Linked DNA regions of Drosophila melanogaster. The protein of the gene in region 1 interacts with the protein of each later gene in a pairwise test. Each region holds a gene or a part of one and is shown on either strand. Other genes may lie near its edges.

Region 1 (5,207 bases):
AGCCTTTTTTCCAAGCATGATAAACTCTTTTGTGCACGTGATTATGTACAGCTATTATGCATTGAGTGTGCTGGGTCCTCGAGTCCAGAGGTTCCTCTGGTGGAAGCGCTACTTAACTGGCCTCCAGCTGGTCCAGTTTACCATTATCTTCTTTTGGGCATCACAATTAGTTTTCCGGGGCTGTGAGTACGGAAAATGGTTAACGCCAATCGGAGCTGCCTATATGGTGCCATTTCTCTTTATGTTCGGTAGGTTCTATGCTCAAAAATACTGTGTTTCGGCAGTTGTAAAGAAAGCCAAGTAAATATAGCAATCGAATTTGTTAGTAGTATTATAGAAGGGGTTTCAATTGGTTGACTAATTTAATTAGTTATTTGGGGACACAGAATAAAAAGAACGTACAATTTCTATGAAAATACAATTTGTTTATAGCTTCAATGTGACACTTTCTGTGGTTATAGCATTGTATATAAAAGTATTATCGATTGGCTTGTATTGCTTCGTAATGATCTTGATCACCTCCTGGGCAGCGCAGCCACCTGAAAGGAATTAGCAGAATATAGTATCGGTCAACGCATAAACCAAATGGAATATTTACCAATAAAAGCAGACACTGCATGCAACTCAGCTCCGCCATATCGACAAATCTCGTGCAGAACATCATCGCTGATGGTGGCGTGCATTCCCAAATCGCTAAGCATCTTGGCGGCAATGCTCTTCAGACGTCCAATGTCCTGCTCAACGATGCACTCGCCGGGAATGTTGCCACACTCGCTGAGGAAGCGCTCGTAGGCGCGCAGCGCAAAGTTGTATGCCGTGAGGTTGCCCTGCAGCTCGTTGTCCTCAACTGGAAGGCAAGGAAAGGTAAGTCATTTAAGGTTGTTCCAAAATAGATAGATAGATCTTTACCCAGTGGTAGCAGGCGACTGCTCTTCTCGTACTCCTCTGCAATGCGTGTACCCCTTATGACCGCCAGTCCGGCTGCTTCTTTGCAAATGAGACGCACACTTCTCTCATCAATGCTGTCGGCAGGCAAAGCCAACTGCTTAAGGTACTCCTGGCACTTGTGATACACCTGGTCGGCGTCTTGCAGCGCCTGTTGGCGGTAGATGTGCTGCAGGGCGATATAGGAGTCCGTATTGGCAGTCATGTCCGGCAGAACGCCAGGCAGAGGGAGATGGCCCTCATTCTCATGTATCACAAAGTGCTTTAGGGCCTTGGCCATGATCCAAAAGACGTTGCTCTGTAAAAAAAAAAGAAAAACAAATGAAAGTAAAGTATACGTATAAATTCAGATTATATGGGCAACCTTCTTGTTTAACTGTTCGCAGGCATCATCTTCGAATATGGCTTTCAGGCTTTTGGGAACCTGTCCCGCTCCAAAGGCTGTATTGACCGCCTTGATGGCCTCTTCATAGTTTTCCTCATCCGCCTTCATCTCCTCTCTAATGGTCTCCTTCAACTGATTCTTCTCTTTGTAATTTCGAGGCGTTTGAGTCCCATCCGCTTGTTGTTTTTGCCACACATTAAGGTATTTGTGAAGAACCAGCAACCAGGGCACCTTACTGGTCACCTCGGTGCCGTCGAGATGCTCCCGCAAAGCATCGAATGGATGCTCCAGACGCAGATCAAACTGTCGATTATCCGGATGCGCCTCCACGATGCAGTGTTCCCGTATTTGCAAGCGTATTGTGCCCAGCATGCCAAGCGATCGGCAGTAGATTAATGGAACGTTAAGCTCCCATAACCGTTCGGCCAGGAGAAGCAAAGTCTGCTCATTGAGATTGGAGGCAATCACTAAATCGAAGCTGTCGAAGAAGTTCGGTCTGTTGGCTAATAAAAAGTCGGCACTCTCGTCGACATAATCGCCATTTACGTCGGGATTGAGTTCCTGGAGAAGTTGCATGCAAGCCAATGCTTTAGATTTGCCCAGATAGCTGGAATCGAGGAAGAAACTACGGAAAAAGTGACTTTATAATGGTGGTCAGGGAATGTGTGATGGTCTACCGACTTGTTGCCCAGATCCTCCTCCTTGACGGTGCTGCCATCGGCCACAGTGAAGCCTCCGATACCGGGTAGCACCAGTCCCTTGGCAGTTTCACAGCCGACGGCCGTAACATTCACCAAACATACTGTGGCTGCCTCCAATAGCGTCTGTCCATGCTCTCCCCACAGCCTAAATAGGTGTCATCAGTGCTATGCTTCCGAATTTATCAATTAAAACGCTCCTCACCTGATTTGTCTGTCGTATTTCTTGCTTTTATCCGAAAGCTCTGGCGATTTGGGGGCTGGCGAGGACATTTCACTAGATTTTTGTGCAATAATAAGCCGGTTGCAAATAATCCAGTACTGTAAAGCGCCGGCAGCCAATACTTCTGACACAATTTGTTTATTGGGTGGAGTGTTGGAAAAAACACGTTGGTAATTTTAACTGTTGCTTATTTAAAACATTTATTGACTATTACGTATTACATTTCATTTAATTTTATTGCATTAAACTACATCTACGTACAAGCAATCAGTCTTTACAAATAAAATGTATAAACAGTTGAGAAATTAAAAAGTGAAAGTCTGAGCAAACCAAATAAAGTGTCTGGTTGACAGTTTTTGAATAGCATTCCATGGCTATGGTTTTGGGTGAGTTTTAATATTGATTTTCAACATGCAATTAATTTAATTAAATAATACCGCTAACTGTTTGTTGGCTGGGCAGTGTAGGCAGCGCATTTTGCAACACTGGGAGGGCTAATGAACAGCTGTTTTATCGTGTAATTTCACAACAAAACAACGCATACATCGCTGTGTTTTCTTCTGCATTTCCGTCCGATTGCGATCCAATTTGAACTAAATAAATATCAGTATTATCACGGAGATAATGCCGGCCAAAAAGAGAACTGCCGCGTCGACCAGCAAAAATAGCGATTCGCCATTAAGTCCGCACACAGACGATCCAGCGTACAAAGAAAAAAGAAAGAAAAACAATGAGGTAAGTTTAAGAGTTTTGGATGTAAACAGAGAGCAAAGATTGGGAAACATGTTGCTGTGGCGCCGTGGCCCCCAGAAGTCCCCAAAAATAGATGCCCACTATTGATTTATTACTATTCTCGGAACAGGCTGTTCAGCGCACACGCGAAAAGACCAAGAAATCGGCCGAGGAACGTAAGAAACGCATCGATGATTTGAGGAAGCAAAACGATGCTCTTAAGGTTCAGATCGAGACGAGTGAAAAACATATATCTACGCTTAGAGATCTGATCATTCAGGGTGAGAAAACGGAGGACGGCCATCGAATCATCCAGGAGATTCTCGCTGAACCAGATCCCGATCCCAAGGACAATGACTAACGAGGAGCTTCTCCTGATTTACCTTCTTATATTTTCATACTTTTAAGCCATTTCCCATGGTTGTTAACCATGTGTATCATCTTAGTTTTTCGATTAAAATGGTGCAATTGCTCGAATTCTATTACAAAGACAAGCACTCATGCAGACGAGAACAGTGTTTGTTAAAATCCTACATAAATGGTTTTCATTATTGGTGAGTTTTTATCATTTCTCACCAAATACTTGTTTTTGTTGTACTTTTCTTTTACTTTTGTTTATATTGTAACACTTAATCACTGTATCCATGTTGCACTGAATCTAAATTTTAAAATTATCTATATTTAGTAATAGTGATTTCTATTATTTTCGACATGATTCATACAGCTAAAATCATGCGAGTCTTGAATCAAATAAAGTGTCTATTATGATTTTACCCATATCAGTGTTATTTTATACCCAATACTTCAGCTGTTTACAACTACTACTACTATTATTATTTCCTTGAAAGTTGATGAACTCATTAATCAGAAATACAACCCAGATTCCATCATATACATATGTTCTACGTTTAAGTAGAACTTCCGGCAAATTAGATACTAACCGTCGTAAACGTCCAATTTCTCCATGTGTAGGCTAAAGACCTCGTCCATTTTCCGAGATATGAACATATGAACTAAAACTATAGCTATTGAGAAAGTGTCGTTGTGCCGATAGGTTTTTGGTTTCGGGTGTCCCGTTAGGTCTTGCTCTCTTTGCTTTTGTTGTGGGCGCTCCTTCCGTCTTCTTCTTTCAAACACTCACAAAAACATTGATTTACTGCACTTTTCGCACATTCATTTGATGCACAACTCGACGGCGATTTGATTTGGCGGGTGGTTGGTTTCGTGTCGAAATGGAAGTTGGATTGTGGGGCTTTTTTCGCGTTCAATAAATTGCCGTCTTCCGCTAATTAGCACCACCCGCACACTGATTCCGATTCAATATCAATTTGAAGTTGCTCACATGGCACGAGGCGAAATAAACTGAAATGTGTTTTCAGTTTTTACAGCGTTGCTTTGTTGTATTTGGCTGGTCGGCAGCTGAACGTGTATTTCCTTATTTTTTATTTATAATTTCACGTAACTTTATTTTGGTTGTTTTGGCCGCTCTCGCTCGCTCTTTTACTGCACGGCCTTGCTCTCGCTTTTTTCTCTCGCGCAGTGTTGCAAAGTTTTCAGCGAGGAACAGCTGATTCAGTATTTCGTTAAAAACCGTTAAAAAGCGTGGTTGTTTTGAAATTGTTGAAATTCTTGAAAATTTTTTTTTATCTTGTTTATGTTCTTATATTAAAATCCTGGTCAGACTTATATTTTAAATATTAAGTTAATCATATTGTCTATGAAATTTGCAAAAATTGGTATATAATTCCAAGCATTTGAAAAAACTTCACAGTGACACTTACATTCACCCCAAAAAAAGTAAAAAAAAAATAGTCAGGATTACAAAAGTTATATTTCCAGATAATGGTACAAAATTTTTTCGATTTATAATGCTGTTGCCATTAAAGAACCCAAAGACCGTTGAAAGCGAGGTGAACCCGAATGTGACGCTACTGAAGCGCCAGATCGCCGAGGATGGAACCAAAACACAGGCACTGTTACTTCAAGCGTTCCGCTTCGAGTTGCCTAGTGACGCCAATGCATCTCCACTCCTCCAGGATCAGTTCCAGCCACAGTCAGTCAGCAGGAGGCATTAAGCCCGCTTTGGCATCACTAGATCCACCTAAAACACCCAATAGCATCGAGAAAACAAAGAAATCCGGGGGATTTCTCTCTTTTTTGTTTGGCAAACGAGACAGGCGGGCGAGGAATCAGAGTGAGACAAATGGAAACCATATCTCATTGG
Region 2 (7,054 bases), on another chromosome or scaffold:
TATGTTGTAAGCAAATTGCATTTCATTTTGCAAAATTAATTCATTCTGATATTGCTTTGGCAATACTTTAATATTTTCTCTATGATTGCGCTGTCGTTTGCAGAAATGGGAGAAGTAACAGAAAGAGGGGTATAAAGGGTGGCAGAGGAGCGATTGAGGCAATGTGGGGCCAAAGTAACCTGAGCAGCGACGTCACGTCTCAACATGTGCCGCGATTATGGGACCGAAGCGGTCCAAGCTTTTTCGTTTGCTGGATTTTCGTTGGCCAGTTGAGCGTTATCACGCTCGAAACGCGTGAACAAGCGGGAAACAACATTTCATAAATCTTCAGGGCCCCGGTGTTCGGTTGTGGTCTCGAGTACGAGTCTTCAACTCACCTGTAGGCCAGATTCATGCACTTGAAGAGTTTGGTGAGCGAGGTCTCTATCTCCAGGTGGGAGGTCACCATGCTCATGCTGCTCTCGTCGCCCTCCTGGTCCATGGCGCTGAAGTGGGCCACTGTTTGGGGTACGTAAAGCTGCACGTCACGACATGTGTTGGTTGGCTCGCCCGGCTTGCCCAGACCGGGGTCCTCAGGGTCTAGCATCTTCACCTCGCCGTCATCCTCTAGGTCGTCCTGCGCCTCCTCTGCCTCGAAGTGCGAGACCATAAACTGGCCGGAGTGGATAGACTCCCGCTCCGCCTTGAGCAGGTCTGCCGTAGCCTCGGCGGACCCTGACGCCGAAGCACCTACTCCCGTTTCGTACTGCAATTGCTGGAAGTTTTGGCACAGAGACTGTTGCAGATAAGGCTGCTGGTGCAGCTGAGGCAGCTGGTGCTGCTGGTGGGGAAACATTTGGCTTGTGCGTTGGTATCCCTCGTGTTTATTCAGCATCATTTTCAACAGGTGCCAGGGGATGCCTATGCAAATAGTTTACTGTTGAGCCAAAATTTTGGCGGTTGCAGATTATGTCGATATGGCGAGGGCACATTTAATGGTTTTTTAATGTCTCTCGCGTAGTAAAGGCTTTTAAAAGCTGGTGCTGACCCTTTTTTAATTTGGATGGGGTTTTTCCATCATTTCAAAATATGTAAACGTTCGCAGACTATAAAAAAAAATATGTTTTGTCTTGCCTCGTGGTTAACACATTTATTAATTCTCTCATCTAGTGTTTGTCCTTGTCATTCTATTAACTAAATTACTAAAATAAGCGATTATTTGATAGAGACATAGCACGGTTTTAAGATTTTGATTTGTTTACAATGCCCGACACCTTCAGCTTTTCGTCATCGACACCTGTCCAATTGTTGCTTTTTCCGGAGCGAAGCTTCTCTAATGGCAAACACGCCCCGCTTTTGCCGTTATATGCGTCACACAGCACAATAACAACAATTTTCGCACACACACACACACACACAATCGCGGCGGGGTTGGCTGGGGATACGGACGTCAGAACGAGACGTCAGTGGCCGCTTGTAGCTCCTTGAACAGATAGTGAAGCCCCAACTACTCGTAAACACACGCGGATCTGATGGAAGGCCAACAAGGCGGGCAGAACCAGCGCAGAACGATCGGTTTCATTCCACAAACAGAACTGATCGGAGAACGAAGCTGCGAAACGCACATAACCTGTGCGCCGCACACAACACAACAATGAACAGCTGACGCGAAATCTCTCTCTCTCCCTACCTCGCTAGCGTTGCTTATCAGCTAGGAAAACGTACATACATATGTATATGTATGTATGTACGTGTTCTTCTATATGCGCAGATGTCAGGCAGCAATGTTGTCCCCCTCTCCACTATTACTATATGGAGCTCAGTCGATTTGACTCCTGGCATTCGGCCTTGCCATCCAGAGTATGCACTCCACAAGCAGTTCTGTGTTTGCACTTTTGACCTCTGGCTCAGCGCTGCCTTTGCATTTTGCCTTTTTCCGTTCCCACTCATATACACGCGCATGCACGCGCACCACAATTTCGGTACAACTGCAACTGCCCCCTATAGCAGAAACACGGGCAGTTAGCAGGCACGACGGACTACCAATACCACGCACACACGCGCAACACAAAGCTTCTACGTAGTTTAATCACAATATAGCACACATTAACCTATTGCGGGTAGCGAGCCCTCACCATCCCATCAGGGTTGTCAAGCATTTGGTGGCTCTGATAAACAGCACCCTCTTCCTAAAAATGGCTGAAAGCTGCGAGCCGAAAAACGCAAGAATGAGCATAATCACCCCAAACGTAAAGATTGGGAAGGGCAGCATACGAGGTCATATGTTTCCTGCTCCGAAATTGCAATACAATGAATTTAGGACGGCTATTTCCCGTAATTAGTTTCCAGTTTTATGGAATTGCTATTATATCTTTTTCCGACAGCACCTTGAAACCGCATCAATAAAAAGTTAATGCGTTGAGACTAATAGGAAAAACTAGAATATATACATATATTATACTCAAATGTAATGTGTTTTTTAAACATTGTTGTGCTTAAGTAATTAGGAAAAATTATGTAAAATGGATATTTTCCCTTTATGTTCACTATATTGTTTAAGTTAGAGAATAGAATACCCAGAATAAAATTAGTGATCACACATCAAAAAACTATCGATAAACATTGAATTAGTTCCGGTTAAAATTTAATAATAAGTATTCAAACTGCACACCTTGTTACAAAGTAGTGTAACTGCCTAATTCTTTATCAGCAGACTAGAGGATTTCGCACTCCCATGTTCTTTTGCTTAAATACCTTTCTCGGGCTTATATTAGACATTATACTTTCAGAGAATTTTTTCATTTGTACTGTTAGAAGGTTCTTAATGAAATTGCTGTTCAGTTCAAAATTTTTATATAGTCATTTAATAATACTTTACGAATGATTTTGTGCGCTTTAGATTTGTGAGAAAAAGGGGTGGGATTATTTAGTAGAAAGTAGCAAGGCATTTCCCGATCTGGTAACACTGATTCCAACACTCATTACCGTTCCAAATGAAACGCAAAAAGGTTCAATTGTTATTTTCTCTCACGATTTCGGCATTTATATTAACCTAAAGATGGCTCTATAGTTTGCGCGCAAGCAAAAACAAGCAGCACCTAGGTGCCCAAACACAACAAAATGGAAACGTATAAAAATCAAAAGTGAGTATACACCAAGCTAAATTCTCGCTAATTTCGCAATTTATCACGCACACTGCCGCACTTGGCGTTCTACTCATTCATTGTTGCTGCACGTGTGTTGGTGGCATTGCCTTGTATGGATTTTCAATTGACCGGGCGAACGTGGCAAATCAAAACTCAGTGGGGCATGCCACCTGGTAAAGGTAAAGAAATTGGCTGACGCAATCGCCGACTGGAGTTGAGTAATGTGCGTTGCAAGTCGCCTGCACGTGCGAAAATGAGATGACTCACCACAGTAAGGACTACCCCAAGCGGACACAGCCCAGGACAGAGCTGTTTAAACCGGCTGCGCGATTGCAGCTCTACCCTTGCATTCTATATTTACCTAAAATGTTAAAACATAATTACTATATTACTAAGCTAGAGGGGAGAAAGAAGTTTTCAAAAAGAAAATTAAAATCAAAATTTGCGTGCTTAATCTCAACTTTTTTGGTGGTGGACACGGCAATATTGACTCTTGGTAATAAAATGTTAAAAATACATTTATCTTTCATAGTTTTCAATGAATGTAGTCTACCCTTAGATTAATTTGAATATAAGAGGTACAGTAAAATGATTAAAAGTGTTTTTAAAAGGGTAGCGACTATTCATTATCACTATGACTCGTGATAAGTCATTAAACAGCTGTGGGCTGAACAGCGAACCAATTAATCATAATTAATTCGTTTCTTTAATTCTCAGCGCCATCATGGCATTTTCACAACAACAAAACACACCGCGAAAACAACCATTCTCATTCTTCGGACCGGATTTCATACTCTCAAAACAAAACATATCTTTGACCCCTGATTTGAACTCTGGATATGGACGCGACATTTCACCAAACCATGGAGAGCTTGCAGTTGCCCAAGGAGCTGTACTGGGACCTCAAGATGGAGCCACAATCCCCAACATCGGTTTTGGGCTCCGATCTGTTTCCGCTCACTGACTCAAACGATACGGAGTGGCTGTATGACGATAACTTTGCAAATGGTTTGTGGTGCCTAAAAGTTTTTTTGAAAGGATTTTTAAGGATTTTAATTTAAGGCATTACTCTTATTGGCGATGATGAAGCCTTGACCCTGGAAGAGGTAGCTTCTCTCCAGTTGCTTAGTGATGAGGAGATGGTTGTGGAGATCTTTGACCTGAAAGATGAAGGTAGGTATATTTTAGTGTGCTTACTTTTTTGTACATAATAATAATGTAAAATAATAAATGTTCTTGTAACTGTAGCTGAGCGCAAAATGTAGATAAACCCATTTGCGAGGAGGTCTTAAACCCATAAGAACGACCTCTTAGAGTTCTTATTAAAGCACCCAAATGTTTGCTAGTCTTACATTTTTCAAAGTCCAAAATAACTTTATTTATAACTTGAAGCTCATAATATTAAAGCAAAGACCGTTACTATGATTACTATGATAAGATAATTGGTAGTTATGCCTGATACTCGTAGATCAATGGGAAACTAGGCTCATTGAAATCTAATAAATAAAAGTAAGCTTTTCCGACTCTATTCAATTACTAGCCGAGTCGATTTGGCCATGTCCGAGTGATAATCAAAATCTCAGGAACAACAAGAGCTAGAAAGTTGATATTAAGCAAGCATACTCACGACCAATTATTTGAAAAAGGGATTACATTTCTATTGATATTCCAAAAATATTTGAGAACCTTAAATTGTCCGGATCTTTATATTAGAAGTTTTTAATAAATTGAGTTTTCAATTAGATACAAATATCTTAAATAAATACACCTATGGCAAATCAGTAAAAATGAAATATTTAGATATTTGCAGGAGCTTTGAACGTCTGCAAAATTCCCGCAAAAAAGATCTTTATATAAATATTAAAACTCAACTTTTGTTGTATAGAGCTCTTTCTTAATAATTAGTGTAGATCAAGTGGATTTCATTGTCTGAGTCATTAGGGTCTCGCACATCGCATTTGAACCTAAAATTCCGACAGGTAAAGTTGAGGAACCGGTTTCAAGTTTGCTTTGTTTTCGTTAGCGTATGTTTCTGGTATTTTGGCCCTCTTTAGCTTGAGCATGAGCGTGTTTTTGTATTATGGTTTTCACCGTGCATTTTATTATTGTTTATCAACGGAGCGCCAAGCAAGCGCTGTAATGGCCAATTTCCAGGCCACAACAAAGACTCAGATCAAGCGAGAGCAATGAAATCAGTTTTTGATCGGTTTTTTGCGTACTTGATCACGCGTTAAGCGAGTGATCGGCTGGACTCTCTCTTCTCTCTGTAGCAATCTCTCTCGACTCATTGCTGACGTTCGGGTAATACATTAAGAATTCAATAGATAACAGCTGGGTTGTATGATTTTAAAGGTAGGAACTCGATCCATTCTCTGGTGGTTATGACTCTGCCCCTTTTGAAAGCTTAATCTTATAGTGTATGTTTTGTTAGTGAAATATATTAAGTATCTGCGATCAATGAACCATTTGACATTATGACCATCATAATTTTGGTATGTATTTTTCGGTCGATCAGGAAGCTTCTTTGTTTGAAATGTAAATTTTTACGGATGACGTGCCCCCTGTTTTGAGACTGTCACTAAGGCTCATTCAGGTAGATTTTTATAAATACCTTTTAAATAAAAGGAGATGAAGTTATATTGGTTATTTCAAGATGCTGGGAGATTACTACTATTAACATCTCAAGCATGTATATTGTACATATATGCATATACGAACGATTCTGCTAATACTTTAATAATTTTAGTATATCATTGTACATAGTTTGTGTAATGCATATGGAAAGTGGAGTTTCAATTTTACTGAATTTTTCTCAGTAATATAATCTTTATTCCAACTAAAATTGAGAGCAACCTGCACAGAGACTTGATTGTTGTCAAGGGTGGAAAGTTACTGACTGGTCAGGTGCACACTGCAAGCTGTTGATAATACTGTATAGAAAACCTGTGTAATTTAGAAATGCAATTTTTGAAGAACTAAAAGGGCTGAGCAATGCTGTGGTAAAATATTGATTTTGACATAAAGTAAACGAAAGTTAAACGGAAAAATATTCAGAAACCAGATTCCAAATTCCCAGCTATTTTCATTTTTGTTCAGCTACAGATCAATAAAACAAAACACCTAAATTTGCACCACTGTGCAGAGTCCGTTGGCGCAGATTGTGACTGTCCGCTTGTCTCAGCTGATAGCATCTCGGGCTCGAAATAAACCAACAGATTGATCTTAATGCAGGGCGCTCTCTGAGCTTCGCTGCCTTCCCCAGTGGTGCTCGCTCGCTCTTGCCCGCTAGTTAGCCGAGCAAAAACCATGCGCGGTTTCCAGTCGGTACTCAGTACAATTCGCTACTCAGACGCGAGCGCTCGAATTGAATCTCGGCTTTAACTTTGATTGCCGCCCCGCATTTCACACGTCTTGAACATATACGTCTTTACTCACCAACACAAAGAAAACGGCTTAAAATAAAACAATACAATAACAAATAAGAAGAGAGGCAGTAACCACACAAGCACAGGTCTTCGCGTTTTATAAACGCTAAAAAGCCAATCGAAAATAAAAATATTATTAAAAATGTGTTAAATAATTTATATGAAGGAAATCTGGTGTATCATTTAAAATAAAGTGCAGAATCTTTGCATTGAGCATTAAAGCGGATACCGCTTTCCCACTTTGTGAAGTTGGCTGGCAGCGAAGGCCATTCGCACCTCTAACTTAAGCCACAGGGGAAAACAAAACGGCTAGATTCCACTTGAGGTGATCATCGATTGGAAACTATATGTAGCCGAACCTCGGAAAATCTGCAGATTCACGGGACAATCGCGACCACCTGAAAGTTCGAGTGCGGGCTCCAAGGACTTTGTTAGCATGATACCACACTGTGGATACCGTTACATGTGGAACCGTGAAATTGTGATAAACTCGCAAAAGTTGGT

Evidence for each region. The genes of interacting proteins can lie anywhere in the genome.
Region 2: the proteins of Irbp18 (region 1) and crc interact in a two-hybrid assay, tested with the Drosophila melanogaster proteins (2 studies listed by BioGRID, with this or other methods).

What each region holds. Positions count from the first base shown.
Region 1 is NT_037436.4:11,095,779-11,100,985, reverse strand, and holds Irbp18 (inverted repeat binding protein 18 kDa), read left to right. Parts: upstream 1-2,799; 5' UTR 2,800-2,844; coding exon of another isoform or gene 2,845-2,875; coding exon 2,876-2,986; intron 2,987-3,113; coding exon 3,114-3,344; 3' UTR 3,345-3,540; downstream 3,541-5,207. Other genes in the region: Elo68beta (elongase 68beta), read left to right, coding at 3-304; APP-BP1 (beta-Amyloid precursor protein binding protein 1), read right to left, coding at 427-539, 599-847, 910-1,243, 1,310-1,955, 2,012-2,176, 2,234-2,301; CG33947 (uncharacterized protein), read right to left, coding at 2,845-2,894, 3,925-3,973; CG46439 (uncharacterized protein), read left to right, coding at 4,937-5,207.
Region 2 is NT_033779.5:21,307,911-21,314,964, forward strand, and holds the start of crc (cryptocephal), read left to right. Parts: upstream 1-2,955; 5' UTR 2,956-3,122; intron 3,123-3,282; exon of another isoform or gene 3,283-3,621; intron 3,622-3,842; 5' UTR 3,843-3,964; coding exon 3,965-4,133; intron 4,134-4,187; coding exon 4,188-4,298; intron 4,299-6,449; exon of another isoform or gene 6,450-6,986; coding exon of another isoform or gene 6,987-7,054. Other genes in the region: mondo, read right to left, coding at 378-877; CG46314 (uncharacterized protein), read left to right, coding at 6,987-7,054.